4 linked regions of the Drosophila melanogaster genome follow. The protein of the gene in region 3 interacts with the protein of the main gene of each other region in a pairwise test. Each region holds a gene or a part of one and is shown on either strand. Other genes may lie near its edges. The genes, in order: CG13494, synr, bin3 and CG12081.

The links.
Region 1: the proteins of bin3 (region 3) and CG13494 interact in a two-hybrid assay, tested with the Drosophila melanogaster proteins (one large-scale study listed by BioGRID).
Region 2: the proteins of bin3 (region 3) and synr interact in a two-hybrid assay, tested with the Drosophila melanogaster proteins (one large-scale study listed by BioGRID).
Region 4: the proteins of bin3 (region 3) and CG12081 interact in a two-hybrid assay, tested with the Drosophila melanogaster proteins (one large-scale study listed by BioGRID).

The regions. Positions count from the first base shown.
Region 1 is NT_033778.4:21,953,084-21,957,316, forward strand, and holds CG13494 (uncharacterized protein), read right to left. Parts: upstream 1,763-4,233; 5' UTR 1,690-1,762; coding exon 1,327-1,689; 3' UTR 1,159-1,326; downstream 1-1,158. Other genes in the region: CG43405 (uncharacterized protein), read right to left, coding at 600-869.
Region 2 is NT_033779.5:4,940,459-4,945,801, forward strand, and holds synr (sayonara), read left to right. Parts: upstream 1-2,283; 5' UTR 2,284-2,393; coding exon 2,394-2,486; intron 2,487-2,552; coding exon 2,553-2,822; intron 2,823-2,889; coding exon 2,890-3,290; intron 3,291-3,344; coding exon 3,345-3,530; intron 3,531-3,589; coding exon 3,590-3,776; 3' UTR 3,777-3,842; downstream 3,843-5,343. Other genes in the region: Sgs1 (salivary gland secretion 1), read left to right, coding at 1-908; mRpL24 (mitochondrial ribosomal protein L24), read right to left, coding at 3,843-3,958, 4,017-4,406, 4,469-4,622, 4,734-4,817.
Region 3 is NT_033778.4:6,212,660-6,218,943, forward strand, and holds the start of bin3 (bicoid-interacting protein 3), read left to right. Parts: upstream 1-1,908; 5' UTR 1,909-2,092; intron 2,093-3,537; exon of another isoform or gene 3,538-3,944; intron 3,945-4,026; exon of another isoform or gene 4,027-4,078; intron 4,079-4,165; exon of another isoform or gene 4,166-4,235; intron 4,236-5,780; exon of another isoform or gene 5,781-5,960; intron 5,961-6,284. Other genes in the region: Ttc7 (tetratricopeptide repeat domain 7), read right to left, coding at 1-499, 557-668, 810-1,092, 1,153-1,282.
Region 4 is NC_004354.4:8,585,504-8,591,274, reverse strand, and holds CG12081 (uncharacterized protein), read right to left. Parts: upstream 2,465-5,771; 5' UTR 2,125-2,464; coding exon 913-2,124; 3' UTR 501-912; downstream 1-500. Other genes in the region: CG12065 (uncharacterized protein), read right to left, coding at 3,108-3,687, 3,750-4,017, 4,667-4,723, 5,030-5,289, 5,357-5,465.

The sequences.
Region 1 (4,233 bases), about 16 Mb from region 3:
GAAAAATGTAGACAGTTGCAGAACGACTTTCCGGGCGGGGGCCAAAGGCAGGAGGTGAACGGGATTTGCTGGGATGAAAGAAAAATGGCAACTGCATTTCCTGTCTGAGAGCTGACAAAGTGCTGAGTGCATTTACGACTTGGACTTGGGCGAGTGTTTTGTGTCTTTCCTGCAGCTGCAGGAGATGCCAGGAATTTATGCACTCAGTCCATAGTCCACAGTCCGCAGAGAAAGCTCTGGAAATTCCTGACCTGAGGCATTTTCTGTAGGGCCTGGGCTATTTTCTTTGGGCCATCTGATAATCGGCCCCAGCTGTGGCTAATCGGTTTACATTTGTCACACTGGCACTTTGGCCAAGGATTCTCTACTGGTAGATGCCACTTGTCCAGGAATCTGGTAAGTCCTGACGTTTCTCCTTAGAATTATGTTTGGTTAATGTTATATTGAACTTCAGTACATCCTTTTCCAATTACTCTGCCGTAATTTGGCAGGACCGCATTAATTTGTCGGCAAAATAATTCCTTTGGACTTCGATTCATACAAAACATATAATTTTATTAGCACAAGTTTCAGTTTTAATGACAGAATTTCAACGACAGTCAGGGTTCCCTTCCTATAAACTCGTCGCCTCGGCGTCTACAGCGAAAACAGAGAAAGGACTTCATACAACCAAAAAGGACGAGAACACCCATACAAGCACAGCAGGCAGCAATGATAAGAAAAATTACGACGAATATGAACAAAAGTCCCCAAGCACCTAGGTTAGTATCCGGGTGTCCAGTGGTTGTACGGTACGCCACAGTTGTCATGTTAAAGTCTATATATTCAATATCGTATTCAGATAGGGTTGTAGCATCCAACTCGGCCATAGCTTATGGGAAATAAATTGCAAATTTTGTTGCTTTCGATAATAGATTGAACCCTCTAAATGGAAGGAAATATGTATAAGGAAAATCACATTAAATTAACGAATGCTTCTCACCGTTCCTTGCATAGCAGCTTAAGAATTTCGATGACCCTGACCCTTCAGAAATTTTATTTTGGGTATAGATTTTTTTTTAATTTTAAGAGTACAGTCGCAGCTTACTGAAGTCGATATTTTTTTGTACTTTAAATTTGATTTTTGGTTGCCATATATTAAGTTAATAGATATCATTTCAAAATTAAGCTAGATTTTTTTATTTTTTATGAATAGACAACAATTTTGCCAATGAGCATACGGATGCTCCTAACGAATCTGTACCTGAGCACATTAAATTTATAGGCTTTCGAATCGCATATCCTAGCACTACGTACATATTAATAGAAACTTGAATTATCGCCGAATTAATCATCGTCCAAGGTGCAGTCCCCACAGCCGTCGCCACAATCGCCACACCCGCCGCCATCGCCGCAACATCCACCGCCGTCATCGCCGCAACATCCACCGCCGCCGCCTTCACCACAACATCCTTCGTCGCAAGCGAGGCACGCGGAGCAGGCGAGTCCGCAACAGCCGCACAGGCAGAGGAGCGGCAGGCAGATGATGAGCAGGCAGCAGAGGAGCACCATAACAACGATCAGGACAATAATACCGACAGCCATGCTACCCGCCTTGGCGGCCTCTGTAGTGGTGGTGGTGGCGATCGTGGTGCTCCATGAGGATGTTTCCGTCATCCCGCCTTCTACCGTTGATAATGTGTCATCCATGATTAATCACTTGTTGACGGTATTGAAATGTTTAACGTTTAGCTTATTGTAAATTAGAATAAATTACAAAAATTCAGACAGCAAAGTTGAGTGTGTATTCAAAGACTCCTTCAGCACAATTTTCATATGTGCCCACTTTCAATTTAGCATCATATTTGGTTTTAAATATATTCAAGTTCCCCATCTACGAAAGACAAAAGCAAAGAAGCTTATGGGCATAGGTGCATTCGTCACGCTTCCACACGAAGCGACTTCTAACGATCAATCGCACTTAAAATCCTTTCCACAAAAGTACTCATTAAACCCACGAACACACCACCCGTCATACAATGCCCATTCGAATTGTATAATAATTAATGAAATGCATTAACGAAAGCATTTTGCGGGTGGAACTGGGATTGGGTTGGCAGAGAGGGGTGGTCCTCGAACGGGGATCTGGGGAGCTGTCCCTGAGCTCCTGTGTGTACCTGCGCTCGTTAGCGCTCCAAACACCCACTCTGCGAAACACCCCCACTTTAACTCATATGCAAAAAACACACCCTCGCCTCACGCCATCATTATCATAATTTGAATGTGATGCGAGCTTTAAAATATTCATGCGAGTAGAAAGATTTTTTTCAAGTGTGCGCACGTGTGCGCCTGGGTTCGTTATAGGGAGCTGTTTACTGTACCAAGAGGTCGTTGATTATAATGACTGTATTTTGTGCGCTGATTACTCCACAGAGAAAATTAAGAAAATGAGTCAACAACTTAATGCAAAAAACAAAAGGAAGCTCTTCGATAAACAGCGAAATGAATATATATTTTTTCAGATATCTATCTGTTTCGTGCATAATAAATATAAACTGCGTTGGACTTCAACCATAATTAAACACTGAACATTGTGTTAAGTAACTAAAGGTTGATCAAACAACTCCTGATAATATACTCACCGGGAAAGTAAAAATCCACTTCTCGTTCTGAATCACAAATCAGTGATTGCAATTGGGAACTATTAGACACGTTTGTCGGCCAATTGGCGGTGGCAGCATTGAAAGCTCATTCAATTCACTGCCTCACACTGACACCCACACTCAGACATGCATTCACCCACACCTGCAAACTCACTCACACACACACACACATACACACCTTTAACATATAGCATCATGGCACACGTGGCTGCATGTCAAAGTGCAAAGTTTTGTGCCACAAAAAACAAGCTGCGAGGGGTGGCAATGTGGGTAATGGCAGTCAAAAGCGCCGCTTGTCGATGTTTTCTGAAAAAAGAAGGAATGAAATCGTAGGGGAAAGCAGAAAAAAGTTACGTTTTTCACGGCGTTGTTGCTGGCAACCCTTTTAGCTCTGGCAATTTAAACTCGCCCGCTCCAAAGTTGCCCACTTGCCATATCCTGTCGCAGGCGTTGTCCTTGTTGTTGCTGCGGTTGGTGCCTCCGTGTAGTTGCCGCATCCCTCGAACGGCTGAGGATCCTCAGGGGGTTAAGAGCTTTTGGCTGCGGGCTGAGGGGTAACTGCGTGGCATGCAATGCGCGATTGCACAAAGTCAACTTGCACATTAGAATTCGACGAAGGATGAGTTGCAGGGCAACGCGTTGAAAGGCGGAAGGACTAGGCTCATCTGTCTGCGATTCCATCTCGGGGTAAAACTGAATACTAAACAGGCGTCTTCACTACACTAAATATATTTTCAGAAACTATTTAAATCTAAGAAATGGATTTATAGCAAGTTAAGGCTATCTTTCCACTTGAATAGATGCGAATGTAAAGAAAATCATCTTCCGGCAAATATGACTTCCTAGTCGAAAAGTCCCAAATGGTCAGATATCCGTCCCCAATGAAAATCGTACGCAGCTGAATTTATGTGTATTCCCAACCAATCATCATCATCATCAGGAACAAACGCAATGGCAATGATCATGTTCGTATCCTGCCATCATCGCATTCATTGGCACTCAACGGGGGCAGCGAATCGCAATCGTAAACTTGATTGTAATAGTATAATTTTTGGCGTAAAAGCCAAACAAATAAACAAGACAAGCACTTGGATTCCCGGCGTATCCCATCCGGCAGATAATCCCCGCACATATGAGTCGGTGGATGAGGCGGCCGAATTTGCCGGCCCCATTTTCATGCAATTTTTATGACTTGGCTCTGTGCGCTGTTCTTTATTTTTTTTTTTGGGGGGGGGGGGCGAATCGAGAGCATCTTACTCATAATCCGCCCCAATGGACCTTTCTCTGCAGGTCTGCAAAACCATTTACTTTTCCCCGGCCAGAAGCTTGGATTTCCCTCGATTTCTCTTATTTTTGCCCTGCTTACCACGTCACGCATCCTGCGAAAAGTTATTGTTATCCTTTTGTTTTAGTGCGCATCTTTTATACTCGTTTCATTTTTTTCTCCTGTTCTTATTGCCTTGGCCGGCCCTTTCGCATTGATTCATAATACATAAATATAAATATTGCGTATACGCAGCGTTTCGCTCGCCCTCGATTGCCATAAATTCTTATAAGTGTGGCAGAAACTCACTCACACATACAGGCACAC
Region 2 (5,343 bases), on a different chromosome or scaffold from region 3:
GTGGCCCAACGACAACTACTCCTAGATCCACAACAAAAACCTCCACTTGTGCCCCAACGACAACTACTCCTAGATCCACAACAACAACTTCCACAAGTCGCCCAACGACAACTACTCCTAGATCCACAACAACAACTACCACAAGTCGCCCAACGACGACTACTCCTAGATCCACAACAACACCTTCCACAAGTCGCCCAACCACAACTACTCCTAGATCCACAACAACTACTTCCACAAGTCGCCCAACGACAACTACTCCTAGATCCACAACAAAAACTTCCACTTGTGCCCCAACGACAACTACTCCTAGATCCACAACAACAACTACCACAAGTCGCCCAACGACAACTACTCCTAGATCCACAACAACAACTACCACAAGTCGCCCAACGACAACTACTCCTAGATCCACAACAACACCTTGCACAAGTCGCCCAACCACAACTACTCCTAGATCCACAACAACAACTACCACAAGTCGCCCAACGACAACTACTCCTAGATCCACAACAACACCTTGTCCAACTACAACACCATCTGCAAGTCCTACAAGAACAACAACAACCCGTCGTCCTTGCCCTTGCCATCCCCAGCCTCCTTACCAGATTCCTCCTTGGTCATGGTGGTATCCGAACCCGACCTACCCCAATCCCGTGTGGCCCTGGCAACCTAACCCAGTCGTTCCTCAATGGCCACAGATGCCCGGATATCCAAATCAGTGGCCACAATTACCAGGTTATCCCCAGCAATTACCACCGCCGTTGCCATCACCTCAGTGGCCGTGGTCTTGGCCAAAACCACCAGTAGTTCAACCTGGCGACTGTGAAAACATATGCGAAAACCTACTGAAGGGAGTAAAATATCAAGAAGATCTCATCAGAAGGTGCTTGTGCACACGAACATAATCCTTTAAAAAAGAATCACGTAATTGTTTTATTAAAATGTTGTCTATTTAAAAAAATAACTTAAAACAAAGTTTTGATGGTTAAAAATATCGAACGGGTATGGTATGGATGTAGGTTTGATGATATTGAATGGCAAGTCTATCCTTCAGAAGTGGGAGGAAGGATTATGGATGTCACAATGGCGCATGCGCCTATATGGTTTTTGGATTCCCATGTTTTGCTTAACACTTTCGTCCCTGAGAAGCTCAGAAAGCTTGGGCGCCATTCATCAACAAGTTTGCATTCGGACTTCAGCACTCTAATCGACACTTGACTACATTATTACTTATTTAAACGCAATCATTTGACCCATTATTTTCCGACGCCTTTGCGTTTGGTTGCACTGCATTGCTCATGCGACATATGGTCGCACTATATGTTTGGAGCACACATTCGGACAAGTTTAATGACCAATTGCCAAGGGATTGGAGAACTCACTGCTCTTCGAATTAGGTTAGCACATTAGCTGGTTAAGGACAAACGTGGATTGAAGTTAGGATGGGGAGAGAAACAGGAAAACTTAACGAGTTCTAGCATATGATAATGTGTACAGCCATAAACTTATAGCTAACATCGTAATCCGTGCACAAGCTATTAAAAACTTCAAGAAGATATGTCCCTAAATTTTTCCAATAGTAATAAATATATAACCAAATTTACTCTCTCTGTAGGGCATACTACAATCCTAATAAGCTATAAACACTCCAGAGCAGAGCCTCTAATTTGCTGGTAATTTATCAAAATCTAGATTATAATCCTGCTGATGGATTATGTTTCGGGTCGATTAGTACCCCAGTTATAGGACTACTAGAGTTCGTCCTTCGTTCAGCTGAGCTTGCACATTTCCTACACAATAAGCAGATGTTAATGGCTCCCTTCTTTGTTGTTTTTGTTAACTTGTTAATACAAATACACCGTGTGCCAATTCACAAATCCAACAAGGTATAGTGGACATGCCAACAAAAAAGCTAGCAAAGCAAATAACACATTGTTGACAAACAGCGGGCTATTGGGGTGAACCTTCAAAAATCTATTGAACAAAAGTATTACTCGTCATATGTATTGTAGCATTTTAATTAAGGAAACATGTATTTTAATCAATATAACTTAAACTTAAAGATAGTAATGGTTGCACATGTCGTATGCGCAATTTTCATGAAGAGTGGTCCGCTCTAAAGGACACATACGTGGTAACAAGGGGGCTACGCTGGCCCCTGTCCCCACCTCCCGAAATGGTTTGTGGGTGGATTTGGTGTGGCCCTGTCCAATGGCTAGCGCGCAAAAATAATTTTTGTTATTGTGTTTTCCCTCATAAGTGGACATGACGGACCCAACGAAAGCTCATTCAGCGCTGGACAGGCGAACTGGAAAGGTCTAAGACGGAAGATGTCATCGCCGGCAGAGCGGGCGAACTTCGTGCAGCACTTCGGACAGACAACCTGAGTGATGGGCTGTGGCTCCTCCATGGATACGCAGACGAATCCTGTCGTCACGGAGGTCAGCTCGGAAATGCAACCTCGCCAGAATGGCGCCTCTGGAGTAATAGCACTTGAACAAGTCGTCTTACCTTTGCCATAATCAATACCTCTTCCATTTCGTCATCAGAATGTGGTCGAGCAATATGTGCGCCTGGACGAGCAGATCAGCAAGCTGGAGGGCACATGTCCTGGTCCTCGAATGGCCACCGCCGAGGCCTGGGTGGAGCACATTCAGAGCAAGCACGAGGCGATGCTGGGACTCGATGGCATGGGAGTGTCTCCTTTGCGCGAGAGGGAATGGGAAACCGAGGAGGCCCTGCCCATTCCAGCTTACACAATGGGGGGGCGGCAGGGCGACCCAATTGTGGCCAACACGCCCACCAAGGACCTGGCCCAGGTAAATGGCCTGCCATTAGTGAATGTGATGAACTTCCCTCAAGTATATTATTACCATTCGACTTTAGCTTGCCTACAACCTGGGCGTAATTGGCGATGCCCGCAAGGCTTCCATGCACGAGGATTTCTTCGCCAACCTGAGCGAGTCCGCCATGTATTTGCTTAGCATTCGTTACTACGGCGAGATGTTGGAACACACTAAGGTGCGTCTAAAGACTCTGGCCGAGAGCTATGCAGAGCTGAACGAGCTGTACGTAAAGCAAGACGGGATTATAGCGTATATAAGCGGGGGAACGTACATGACTCGGCTGGAGGAGAGCATTGATGAGCAGCTTGAGACGGCAAGAGATACAAGGGATAAGCTGGGCAGCGCACTGGAGCAGTGGCGCATCTGTGGATTACTACTTAGAGCAGCCGCGAATTCCTCGACGCAGGCATTAAAACAATGGCGACAGCTTGGACGGATAATGTGGGTAAATTAATTCCCCACTTAGAACTTGTTGACATGTTATTTCTCGTTCAGAGATCCCAAGCAAAAGCTTCAGTGGGCGTTGGACTGTCGAAGTCTGTTACACGCCTCCACGATATCCCTAGAGGCGGCTCAGCTGGCTCTGCCGCACGTGGAACTCAAGTACATGAGTCATCGGCAAGTCCTAGCCGTCAAGCACTGCAACACCTACCTAATCACGGATATAGCAAACAAAGCGCGGTAAGTTAATATATAGATTTCTCTAGAATCTTCTACAAAGGGAAACGAATCCCTTTTAGGTACGAGCACACCAGTCGGGTCTTCACCAGTTACGAATCAAACATGTCCAAAACCTGCACGTGGCTCTACGAAACCTTTAACAGCACGCTGCGCCCAGACTACGACAGGGCGGAGGAAACTGTATGCGGGCTGGCCAAGACGCTCCGGGATCATCGCGAGGAGGTCTTCAACACGGTGCGCAAGTGACATTAAACTTATTGCTCAATTATATGGGTATTTTGTACATTACTTTAATAAACAGTAGGCATAACATTAGTACCAATAGCTCTTGACTGGCGTGCGTTCCTCTTTGATGCCCATTTCCTCCATAATGTCCATCTCGAATGTGGACAACTTGGGCTGAAAGGTGATCTCGCCCACAACAGCGCCTGAAAAGGACAGACTTGTATGACTAGGAACATATTGAAATGCGATAATAGCCCATACCTGGCGTATCCTTCTCCCTTTCGATATAGGCGTTTGGTGTTTTATAATCGTGCGTCTGGTTGTTCGTCTCCGGGATGGGTATGATTCGGCCAGATCGCAAGGACACCCGCACTTTCTCGCCCTCCTCCGTGAAACGCCACTCAAAGTCGGTGCCCTGAAGATCCGATGGGTCAACCAGACGAATGTCCTTGGTGACGTGCAAAGGTGCCTCGGACTTGATAATGATACCGGGAAACTCCTTCTCACCGCCAACCTTGCGATAGTGCCAGTTCAGGCCCTCTACAATTACCCAATTGCGCTCGGGTATAACCTGGGTGACAATTCCCTGCTTTCCTTTGTCTTTACCCACAAGGACTTCGATACGATCGCCGCGGAAAAAGCTCCAGTCCTCTGAAAAGGATATACAACCATGTTTTATTAGGTTTTAGAGGTCAAGGCTTCTTATTCCTTACCAATTGGTTCCACTAGCACCTTGCGACGCACGGTTCCGGGCATATTTTGCTGGCGGAACTGACCCGTCCATGAACGATTTGTGGTGTAGCGGAATCTCTTTCGCTCCACGGTACGCGGTAGGTAATTAATCTCCTTCGGAGTTTGCCAGTACACCTGTGTTGAGATGAAAAAAAATATTTTAATAAATGTGAAACATTTTCCATGCGATGTGTTACGTGAGCCGCTGTTCACAAGTTGTTCAATGAAAAAGACTCTTCCTGTTACCTGTTTTTTGCTGCGCTCGATGTATTCCTTGGGCAGATTGGAAAAGTTCTTCAACTTGCTGGCCAAATATTGCGTTAAACGCATTTTGAAAGGTTAATTCAATTATTAATAATAAGAACTAGTAAATTAAATGCGGCTTGCAATCAGCTGTTGAGAACTGAAGAATAGCCATTCACAGGAAGGCCCAACAATTTTATTTATATTTAATGTTTATGCGACTCTAAAGATTATGAACACTTGATGTAGGCTTGTAAAATATTTAAATTAATTATTTTCGAGGTTTAAGAAAATATCTTAGCTTATATATTGTTAAACATTATGATATAGAAATTTAAGAACTAGCAATTATTTCCCCGTGTAAACGTGGTTCGCTGTGACTGGCAAGAAGAGGTAAGAAGAAGCAGCTGCTATTTGTGGACTACTCTTGGTGTTTTATATCGTTCGCCGTAGCCCTAAATTGCAATGCAAACCGGCTTTATATAAACAAAAGGTAAGTGCTAGACCATATAAATGTGGGCACGTGCGGGCGCAACATCATTGGAAGACGGAATCGCAACCGGAGAGCGTCTATTCCGGCCAGCTCAGTCCAACCGTTTGGGAAGGGCCTTTC
Region 3 (6,284 bases):
GCTGGCGGGCTGCGTATTTACGCGGTTTCCAAAGTTTCTTGGAGGATCCTCCTCGCAGCGTCCCACCTCCAGATTTTCCGGTAAAAGGAGGCGAGTAAATCGTGCCCGAGACCCCTCTCAAAAGAACCTCAGCTAGCTGGCGGGCCAGCGTGAGGCGCAACGATTGAGTAGCCCTCGTTTCGATGGCGTTTAGCATGATTCGATACCGTTCAACGGCCTCTTGAAGCTTTTCCGTCTTAATAAGCACTATGGGTGCCCGTTGCAGGGCGGTCTCTAGGATGGCGCCCATCCTGCGGTTCATTTCCAGTCCACTTGGACCACTCGCCGGTATTGTACTGCTGATTGCAAAACTGCTGCTCGACGGCTGCACAGTAGAGGCGTTTACATTCAACGTAGAACCAGCTGTCGAGTTGTTGGACGAGCCACTGCTTCCACTAACGAGATCGTATTCCTGCAGATAGAGCAGCCCCAGATCAGATGCGCGCTCAAAACAGCTAATCTGGAGTAAGAAATTATTAAATCAGTTACGTTTTAAAACTGAAATCGAGGACTTTACCATTTCCGTGTCCTTTTCGGCCTTCTTAAACTTAGATGACGGCTTCGTAGTCTGCTGCTCCAGACACAATCCCTTGATGGCATACGATTCCGCAAGGATCTTCAGGCTGCGACTTTTATATATATGTAAGCAGAAGTGATAAGTTTTGCAAATTTGCTATTAATTAAGAGTTGATGTGTACATTCATCTTAATTTGCAAGTCCCCACGTAGTAGATGAGAACATTTTGATTAGAAAACCTTTTCCCAACTTACAGGGTCAGCTCCTTCTCGGCAAGCGTGTTGAGTTCTGCCTTGACGAAATTGTCTAGACTCTGCTCATACTCGCCGCAGGCAAAGCACAGCTTGGCCAGCAGCAAATAGGCGTCCAGGGCGATGCCCGCCTTCTGGCCACTCTCACCCAAAGCCAAGTGAAGGAAACGCCGGGCCTCCGCCAATCCAGACTTGGCGCGACCAAAATTTGAGTCTGACGCGAGAGCGTTTTCCTCCAGGTAACTCTCCAGACGAGCTTCCCCCACCAGAAAGTTGGCCAGGCACTCTGTTCCACGAAAGAAGGCAGTCATTCCAGGAGTACCGTCATCAGCGGAAATCTTCTTACCATTGTGCGGGGACCCGGTCTTCAGTTCATCCGTTAGCTCGATGACCCGGTGCCACTTGCCCTCGCTGCGACAGCTCTCAATCAGGGCCTCCACTTTGGTTGTGGTGTTACGCATGTTCTTGTTGGCCATATGTCCACTTCACGGATAATGTTGTCACTCTTTGCTTGCTGTGTGTGCCAGTGCGTGCCTGTGCTCGCTATAAAGCGGGTTCCTAAGAGCCTAAAGCGGATTCCTTCAAGACTAATCAAATTGTTTTGCAAACATTGGAGTTATCTGTTTTCTTCGCTCTTCTTCTTTCTCACATATGGCAGCATCTGTTATCGACAGCAACTATTATCGGTAGTCCCGCTAACAGCGTGCTGTAAAGCGATTTGTGTACCAGTGCTGTTAAGACATCTGTGGTCCGTCCCCTGTTAGCTGCTAACATGCTAACTCTCGGTCAGCTGTTCCATCTTTTTTTTTCCACAAGCGTGTGCAATCCATCAGAAGCTGTTCATATTGTTAATTGAATCGATAAGACCCAGTGTGGTAGCTCTTTCTTAAAAATATGAAACCTCTGCTCGCCAAATAGAACATTATCACATTATCCCTCATATTAGCAAGATGTCTTCATTTTATGTTGTTTTCTTACAACAGTTATGCATATGCATATGTACATACTATTATAAACTTCATTGTTTTTCGATTACTAATTTTTTCATTTTTAAAATTGGCAACACTGGTGGGCTCTGTTAACCGAGAATATATATAAAAATATGTTAGTTGTAAGTGTTTTCTTGCAGGAGACTGACGCACTTATTAGAGCTCCGCGAACGGAATCATATTTTACGGTTTTTTTTTTTTTTTATCAAGAGTGTGGCGAATTTAACGGCAACAACGAAACGAAAAGTGAAAACAAAGTTCAAGTCGCCACTGAGCAATCGTGGGGCTTTCTGGGCGGTAAGTGTTTTGTCCTTAAGATTCATTTTTGTTTTGTCTAAAGGCGCAGCACGTGTGGATTTGTGTGCACACTCAGCTGTTCCTAGGGTTTCTGTTTTTCGCGAGCACACACAAGTTAGCAATCAGTTGGAAAGCTATGAAGAAATGGAAGTAGTCCAGGCAGAGTATTTGGACAAGAGTAGTTTCTTAATTGTGTGTGTGTGCATAAACAAACGTTAAGTGCATTTCAACCTTCTAATAGGATATGGACCAGAAGAGTGGTCCCCGTATACCCTCTCTTATCGAGTTGACTTCCACTTTTGCTTTCAATTTTAGGAGCCATTTAAGCAATCAAATTTGTTTTTCCTGAGTGACCCCTCATGCCAACCGTTCTCGCAGTCATCGATAACTTTTATCGCGTGCCCCTCAGAAGTCAAAGTTAATTGCCAGTCTTTTATTTTTTTGCCCGGCCTTTTTGAGTTTTTGTTGCTTTTCGAATGTGCAATATTTCCATTTGCATTTCCATATACAAAATCTTAGGTAAAACATATATACAAATCAACACAAAACATCCATGTCAGATTCCAGGCTTTTGGCTCCTCTCATTCTTCAAATTTCTTGCCAATCTTTTAGGCTTCGGAGAGCATATTATTCACCCCAACCGAAGGAATTCGTCAAAAGCGGTGGTGGGGGTGGGCAGTTGGTTCCAGGGATAATAATGGTGGGGCGAACGGGTCGGATATGTGGGTTAGCAGTTCGATGCACAGTGGCTCTTTTACCCGAACTGCCAAAAAACAAATCAAACTGTCTTATGGAGCTGCTATAAGTATTAAATTAAAAATAGATTTTAATAGAAAAAGTAAAAATAGGAGTCCACTTCGAACGCTCCCCTGGTGCGCTTTGTCACAAAGTTAACACTTTCCTACAAAACACTATAAAGTGTAATTACGAACTAAATATTTTTTTCATTTTTTCTATCAAGACACTCATTTATTTGAGTATCATGGAAACCGTAGTCAAATTTAAACAAGCCAGAAGATGTTTAAATATATATACATAAATGTTTATATAGATTTGTTGAAAAGTAACAGATACAAGGAAGATTCGGCCACGAAGCTATTTTTTCCCAAATAAAATTCAAAATTAAAATTATTTTCTCATTTTCATGTCACTCCGAATATTAGCTAAAAGTGACATTAAAGGTATTACACGCATGTGGATTATGGTTACAGTGTCTTGTTCTATGAGTTTCCCGTTTATGGAAAGGAAAGTAAGCGCAAAACTGAAAAGTTGAAAAAAGGCGGCTTAACAATTTTAAAGTAGTGGGTGAATGGTTCCCGTTTGCATTCTTAACTTGATACACTTATAAAAACTTTCACTACAGTTTATAGAAAATGTATAAAATTTTAAAAGGAACTACCTTTTTAAAAGTAATTTTTTTCTTATCCTCTGAAAGAAATCAGGTTGCTACTTCCAAAATAGTTAATTACTATTATCTATAGCCATTATGAAGGAACTTATCTAGTAACAAGTTTATTGGTTTTAAGTATTTTGAATTTTCCTTATTTAGGCTATATCATTTTCTCTCAGTTTTTAGGGAGCTATATAAAATGTGCGTAGGACAAGTTAGAATATAAGATGGGTGAAATAGCCAAAAGACCGTTTGTTTCATTGTTCCTGCTGCATTGCCGCTGCAGTTTTTGTCCCGGCTGTTGTTGGTTTAGGTCCCGCAATCCTTTGTTTGCTTCTGCACATTCTTAATCCGCGCCAATGCATCTGTCAACGAGCCGGCGAACTCTCATTAGTGAAGCTTCGTTTTGTAGGCGTTCGTTAATGAACTACCCACATCGCGATGACCTTGATGTGAAAAAATCTGTAATTATGAAGAAAAGTAAGAAAGAAAATAACCAGAAAAAGGTAAAAATCCAGTATTTTTAAAATATTTGGATGGGTACCTTGATGACATCTTAGGAGTCCCAGGACATCTCTAAACTTTGTAAGGCCCATCTGATATATGTAAATATGTTATATTATCTTCTTAGTAGGCTCCCCAAACTGTGCAATATATTATTTGACAACAAAAATAATTGTTACCTTTCTATGTGCATGATGTATTTATTGTAATCTAATTTTTGTGCTCATTTTGGTTGGCTTACATTGTAAAATATTTACATTTTACCAAACGAAATGCTATTTCTGGACACTTTCTAAAAAAAAACGAACCCTTTTCGAAAAATCGCTCCAACACTCTGAGTAGAGGGTAACTGATTGCTTTGAACCTTGTTTGTATCTACATATCTCTATTTGTTTTGCTCTCTGAGCGCTCGTTGACTGGTCAACGAACCTGTTGCTGTTGTTAACAATAAAAAGCAACAAATTAAAAATATTATAGTCGCAACACCAACACTAGATGTTGGCAGTCTATGCAGGTATTAGGGAAATTCAACAGAAAACTTAAACATGGCGATTTGGAAATAAGTAAAAATTAAGAAATTTTGATTAAATAAAAGTGTTTATTAAATGGCATAAGAAATATATTATCTTTACTTTAAGTATGAGGTACCTTATTCTGGTCGCGTAACATTAGTATTACATACATTCCAGTTTGTACCGTCGGAAATTTAAGTCCCTTGCAGTTAATACCATGTAAAATTTATTAATGTGTTGCGGATCTGATTAAGTTACTCACTTATATACCGCAAATTGACTGCGTTTTGCAGTATTGTAATTTAGTAAAACACCTTAAGCATTTTATTTCGTAAAGTGTGAAAAGAAAGTTAAAAATCTTGACGCGAAATTAAAAGAAACAAAAGAGAACGCTGTAGTCGAGCCCATATACCATCAGATACCTGTTACTCAGCTAGTGGAAGTGCAAACGATAAATAATAATTATCAAAACATTTTCAAAAAATGTTGGCGTGACAGTTTTTGGCGGGTTGTAGGCAGTTAATAAATTTACGCTGCGTCATGGTCTCCGGAATCTAATCTCAAATTTTTAGCTCTTCTAATTCCTGTGACCTCGACGTTCATACGAACGGACAGACACTATGCCAGCAAACTAAAACTAACTATTACAAACTATGGTTTGTATTTGGTTTATATTTTTGGTTTATATTTTCTTAAAAATTCCTTACAAAATATATGTCACTCTTACACTTACACCATATACCCTGAATATCCCCAGGTTTTAAGACGTGCCAGTGTTAATAACGTCAGAAAGTCCTGAGCATCCTATTTGCATAACTCCCTAACATTCATTACTTTGATAAAGTAATTTACGTCAAATCAAACACCCAATCAATGTAGCTTGAATTATACAGTAGCATACAAACGCACACACTGATTGTCGTACAGACTTGCGAAAAAACTTGCTAAAAGCCTGACATGTTTAGATTGACTAAACGTTGTTTAAACTGAACTAGAATATCTATAAATTACGGCGCTAAAAAACAATCACTAGAAATTTAAAAAATAAAAGGACCATCAACAGTTATTAGCATTTGGAAAAAAGAAAATCGATGTGAAAACGATGGGAAAAATCCATGAATGGGCTTTGAATTGCTTCCGGTCACAGCGTCTATTTCCAATTCTCAGATATAGGTATATCTGATATAGAAAATTGGATGGTCGCTTTTCTCAGTGTGTTAACTCTTGAAGCGAACTATGTTGAATAATAAACCCAATTTTGTCAAAAACATTTGTCTCTTACTATGGTAGGCCGTGGACTTTTCAATTGACCTGCTAAGTCCTGGAATCCGAACTGCTCTGCATAGTCCAGGCAATCCTGGAACTTGTGATTGCTTTCGTGGCCACTGCTGGTGTTACGTCAAACCAGTCATTTTGCTCTGAATTTCTCATCTACTGTTCGGAGAACGCTCAATGCTTCCATGTGTGCCCTTATCACATTGTGAAGCTATTTATAGTTTCGCTTGCTGCTTTTTGCTCAGGCTTTTCATTTAATTTTTGCTGCGGTTTTATTGTCGTTGTTGTTCCCTATAATGTTGCGCTTGAGTATCCTTATTGGTTTTAGACTTCAGAGCAAAGAAAACTGTAATATACAAATTTTAAAAAATTTCGCTAATGGCCGCAATAGATCAAGATTATAAATAGTACCCAGTATGCATTCATAACATCATTTTGGTAAATGCCTTAACTCAAAAATTATCTATGATTTTGTATCACTATTTTTTCAAGTCTATATATAAAAAAAAAA
Region 4 (5,771 bases), on a different chromosome or scaffold from region 3:
CCAAGTACTCGCTGTGTTCCGCACCTGGAGGCCTTGCGTTGCAACTACCACTCATAATAGGCAATTAGAGCGCTGCTGACCTTACTCTTACTGGCATTGCGTGCGAGGCTGTTGCTTTCAAGTGATTCGATGACTGTTTCCTGCCTGGAACACCGCGTTCAAGGGGAGTTACATCCACAATTACCATATATATATATATATGCATACACTGCCTAAAAGGAGATGATCTCTGTAAATTAGTTATAGAGATTTGTCACTAGTTTGACCGCAAAAATAGATTAGGTAATTCCAAGGTGAGATGAATACCTTGGCGGTTTGAAAGTGTCTAAATTAACGAAACGGCTGCCACATAGATCCTAATGCGAAAAGCAAATATTTAAACAGCCGACTCGTGCAAGTTTGGAGTTCGCAATGAACGGCCCACAGATTAATATAGTGTTAAGTTAACCAGCTATACAAAATTCAGCAAGAAGGCAAAGTAAACAAAACTGAATAATATGATTAATGAGTTTAAGATATTATATTCATTTTCTTATCGGGCATTTTGGCGAAAGGACGATTTATAAATGTTTCATCAACTATATTCTATACTCGCATAGTCATTATTATTGTGTATTATTTGAGGACGATTTATAAATGTTTCATGAACTATATTCTACATTCGCATGGTCATAATTATTGTGTATTATTTAGCAGCTATCAGAAGTACCAAAAGCAAGTTTCTAAAACTTTTGTAATTACTGGGGCTTCTCCCTCGTTCGCTCAGGTCCTCCATTCGTCATCTCTCCCGAAAGTGTTATTCGAGCTCCAATACAAAGAACCGGACTAGTGGCTCCGTGATTCAACACCATTTTTCCACCTCATTCCATTTTGTGGCAGTCGACTCCGGCTTATTCCTTACGGCTTTGGACGCTAGCCAGCTTGGTTGATGGGCCGGCTAATACTGTTCGGCTGTGTCAGCATCTGCAGGTCCGAGCGGAAGCTCCTTGGCAGCCCCGAGATGTCCAGCTGGTGCTTGAGCACCACCATGGTGGCCAGGGTTTTTAGAGTGGGCTCAAAGTCGAGCACATGCAGATCGCTGTAGTCGATAAGCGCCACACCGGGCGGAACAACTCCGCCAGCCGCTGCGGCTCCGCCCGTCTCTTGAGTGGGTGAAACAGCTGCCGGCGAGCTGGAGGAGCCGCTCCTTGGACTGGTGCCGCCAAACAGGAACATCCTAGTGCCCATCACAATGGCGCACTGTCTCCGACGCGCCGTCGGTGCCTTGCCGTTGGCCCGTATCAGGTTCCACAGCTTGGTGCGCGGATCGAAGGTGTACAGATCGTTGAAATGCTGATCCAACAGGCCATTATAGCCACCGAAGACATATATCAGCTTGTTGTAAACGAACATGCTGTGGCTGCGTCGACCAACGGGCACCTTACCGGCCGTGAACGGTCGATGCCACACCTTGGTCTTCATGTCCAGGTAGACGATCTCGTGACAGTAGGTCTCCTCCTGGCTGTGGTACGGACTGTGCTTATCGCCCCGCCCGCCGAAGATGTACATTCGCTCCTGTTCGTAGGCCACCGACGCATGAAAATCTCTGTAGCTGGGCGGCACGCCAAATGTCTGAACATAGCGCCACTCCATGGTGTCCAGATTAAGGGAATGCACATCGCTGCTGAACTCGTTGATCTCATCGACGAATCCACCGAAGATGTACATACTATTGCCAATGACACAGGCCGAGTGACCATCCCGCGCTCCGGGTAGACAGCCAGTGACCTGGGGCCTCGACCACTGCGCTGTCTTGGGATCGAAGCAGTAGAGGGTATTGCAGAGATTCTCGTCGTTGCGACCGCCCCAAATGTAGATGCGATCCTTGTAGGCCACCACCGTGTGTCCGTAGCGCTGGAAGGGCACCAGCGGATACTTGAGTGGCACACCCGCGTCGTCCAGCTGCTGGGGCACCAGAGTCCAGCGCATTGTGTGTGCATTCAGGGCGTGCACATCGATGGGCTCATTGTAGCGATAATCGTATCCGGTGCAGTAGCCACCAAAGCTGTAGATGAAGTCGCCCACGCCCACCGCTGCGTGATTGACCCGCTGTGGCCCACCGTCCAGATGCACCGTCCACAGCATGTCTTGGCCAACTGGATAAGCTGTGCGCTGTGGGCTGCGAGCCGTGTAGCACCAGTGTGCTGTGCGAGGAGACGGAGATCTTTGCTTTGGGCCCAAGCTGCCCGAGCAGCCCAAGCAGCCAAAACACACAAAGGAAAGCAAGTGCGCCGCAGTTGTCGCTCCTTTTGGGAGCGGGGGCAGGGTGGTGCGGGCGCAGGTGCGAGCAATTGAAGGCCACACAGGTATAAACACTGATACCAAGCGCTAGCTGCGCTCCGCTCTGCCAGTTTTGCCAGATGTTGAAACGAAACGAAACGGATCGAATTTTTGAACAACACAAGCACACAGAGTTGCGTGCGTGAGCGGACGCACGAAATAGCAGGGCTCCACTGGGTCGTGCTGTTATCGATATCGATAGTATAGATTTCTGATTGACAATTGCATTTAAAAAATGACAAATTCGAAAATCCAATGTATTTGCATTAAATATTTAGCTATTTTAGCGAAACAGTTGCAATGGCAATGTGCATTTACACTAGATTGATTTTTAAGATGAAGCTCCAAACAATGAATTAGAATATTCTAATGTCTTTGGTCAATTTACCTGAACTTTTTTTCACTCAATCACAAATTCTCATTGAATATTCTTAGTTTTTGCAAGCTTAGTTGCGATATTTATTTACTGTTGTATATATGTGTTTTTATATACGTCAAGTGTTTGTGTGTAAATTAGATTGATTGTAGTACAAAAGTTATAACAAAATAAATAACAAGAAATCATTTAATACAATATTACGCGAACATACATTATATATGATGCAATCTATGCACATTTTGGTTTACGAATAGTGGTCCCCATGTGTCTGGCCACAAAAAAATAAAGGGACGCCGCAGCGGGATTGGTACGAAAATTGGAGGCAAATCAAATGCTACGATTGCAGGGAAGGGGTGGGCGGGGGGGTTGGGGTGTAATGGAGGAAATGGGGTATTCGAAGCCCCGCCTCCTATACATTCGTGGGCGCGTCCATGCCGCAGATAACCGACTTAACCACCGACGCCGCCGAAATGGCAGCGAAGTTTTGCCACTTCCTGGTGGACGTGCCGTCCTTGTAGTCAGCGATGCCCTTCACCAGTATAAAGCTCTCTCTGCAATTGCCAATGATGCTGTCCAGCACGCTGCTCATCTCCACATCGGTGGCCAGTAGGCCGTACTTCCTGGCGAACTGGGTGCGCAGCTCGTCGCTCCTCACCAGATCCCTTCCGGATCCAATGGGACCCAGATGGAGTCGCAACCGATTGACACCGTCCACCTCGTCGGCGGCAATGGGATGGGCCACCTCGATCACCTCGTTATTTCCAATGTTCATAAACAGTTTGTCCGTCCGCGCGTCCGGCCGGTTGAAGTCGGCATCCGTCTTCTGGGCCAACGCCTGTTGGGCCTGGTTCAGGTAGTCCTCCCACGGCCGCTTCACCTGCATGTTGGCCTGCAGGCTCTCGGCGATCTGCTGCAGCGAATCGTTCACCGGGAAGTAGGTCTTCACGTCCTCGCCGCTCTTGTACAAGTACACGTACGGTTTCTCCTTGCTGTGAAGAGCCATACATGAATGCGATTGATAGATTGAAGATTTTATATTCGTGTAACTTACCTATTGCTGATCAGTGCCCGCTGTTTGTCCACATACGAGATGACCACATCGCCCAGTCGCACGTGCTTCTTATAGTCCGTGTAGTGGGGAACGCCACCGGCTACGCCCACGATGAAAACATAGTCGACCTTTTGGAATGTGCCCAACAGACGGGTTGTGGTATTGCCCGTCGCCGTCATCGCCTCCCGATTGCTGCCCACCGACGGGAGCTTGGTGCTCACGATCCTGTGCGCCCCGATATTGCCCAGAGTATACACATTCGATTCGCCTGTGGAGTAGAGAGAAAGTTTGGATCAATTGATTGGCTTACAGAAAGCGGTTTACGTTCAGGACATTGATAGATACATATATACCAAATTATACAAAGAGGAATGAAAAGAACATGAAATAAGGAACAAATCATATTTAAAAAAAGAAAAAGAAACACCAATTATAATTTTCCATACATCCCATATTCTTTTGCGATCAAAATACAAAACATAAACCAATTAATGAACCGAGTGTGTGACGGATCTAATCAATCCGTCTAATGACGTAGTTACATGTGTATATGTACAATATAAGGTCATGTATCCTGGGGCAATCCTTTACCATAACAACAAAACAAATGAAACAAAACAAAGCACCGACGACGATACAGCACAGACACACAAAGGACACGAAAGTTACAACAAATCGAATTATTCTAGGCCAAGTTCATAACTTTCTATCCAAGTTTATGGCAACTCATTCGCGTACAGTGCGCACTCGATACATGCGAACGCTCCATGTTCAATCGATTGCATTACTATTGTTATTTTTGATTCAAAGATGATTCTTTAGAGTATTAATGATCTAAAAAAAACTCATGAACTTGACCTTGGATATACATATGGGTGCTTCTGAGTTAAGGAGTGGATTCTGGACATTTAGCTTACCGAATCTTCGTTTCTTTTTGGACTTTCTGAGTGAGTTCGTTAGATTGGGATCGGAATCTGTTACATGGTTTGGTATTTTTCGATTCGGGGGAAAGGTGAAAGGTTTGTATTTAATTAATATCATTGCAGGCAAGTAAACATCAGCAAATTTGTATGCAAATTCATTCGTTTATGGCGAAATTTTCGTGGTGATGAGGATATATATATATTTTTTTTTTGTTTCCACAAAAGTCGAGGTATTTGGGATACAGAAGTGGAAAGAGAGAAACAGAGAAAAGACGGTTAGACGAGAGTTTGATTAGTAAGAGTTGAGGGAAATTCGATTCGCTATCGAACTGAACTGAACTGAACTGAACCACCTACCGACTGTGGTGTATCGGACGAATGTCTCCTTGTTCTCGAGCATTGCGTCCACGGCGAGCTTCTCGCAATATTGCGCCGTGATGATGGCAATGGTGGGCTGCTTGTTGGAGGCGATCGTGGGCATCTGCTTGACCACCTTAATCTCCTTGTCCTCGTGATGGATGCGAGTGTACGCATTGTACTCCATCGACTTGATCAGACCGCGCTCCTGCAGTGACTTGATCACCAGCAGCACATCCTGCTCGCTCCAGCCGTAATCCCTGCATTAAACAAAATGAATTAATTACATCTCAGGTCTAGACTTCAAACGGATCTTGATGTACTCACTTGGCCAGATCCTCGGGGGACACGGGATTGGGATATGCCTGCTCGATGAGCTCCAGCACCTTCTCCTGAGTCAACGGCGGTGATTCGAACTGCGATTCCTCGAGCGAAACTACGGGGATGAGAGCAAAGGAAACAACAAACACGATTAAAGCACAATGTCTGGGCAATTCCCGCTACCAATGGTTATACATTTAGCAAGGACTCTTCTGTTAGCGGGCAATGACATCTACTCTGAGCGGTGGGCGTGGCTGGTTAGGCGGTGTCTGTTAGTAAAGGAAACGCACAGGCACACGAGCACACACACACACAGTCAGACGGCTGGCAGGGCGGTCAATTAAGTGCTCAAGCAGCGCATTTTAATTGCAGACAGCAGACAAATTGGACACTCGAGATGTCAACTGCATTTTGAGGATAA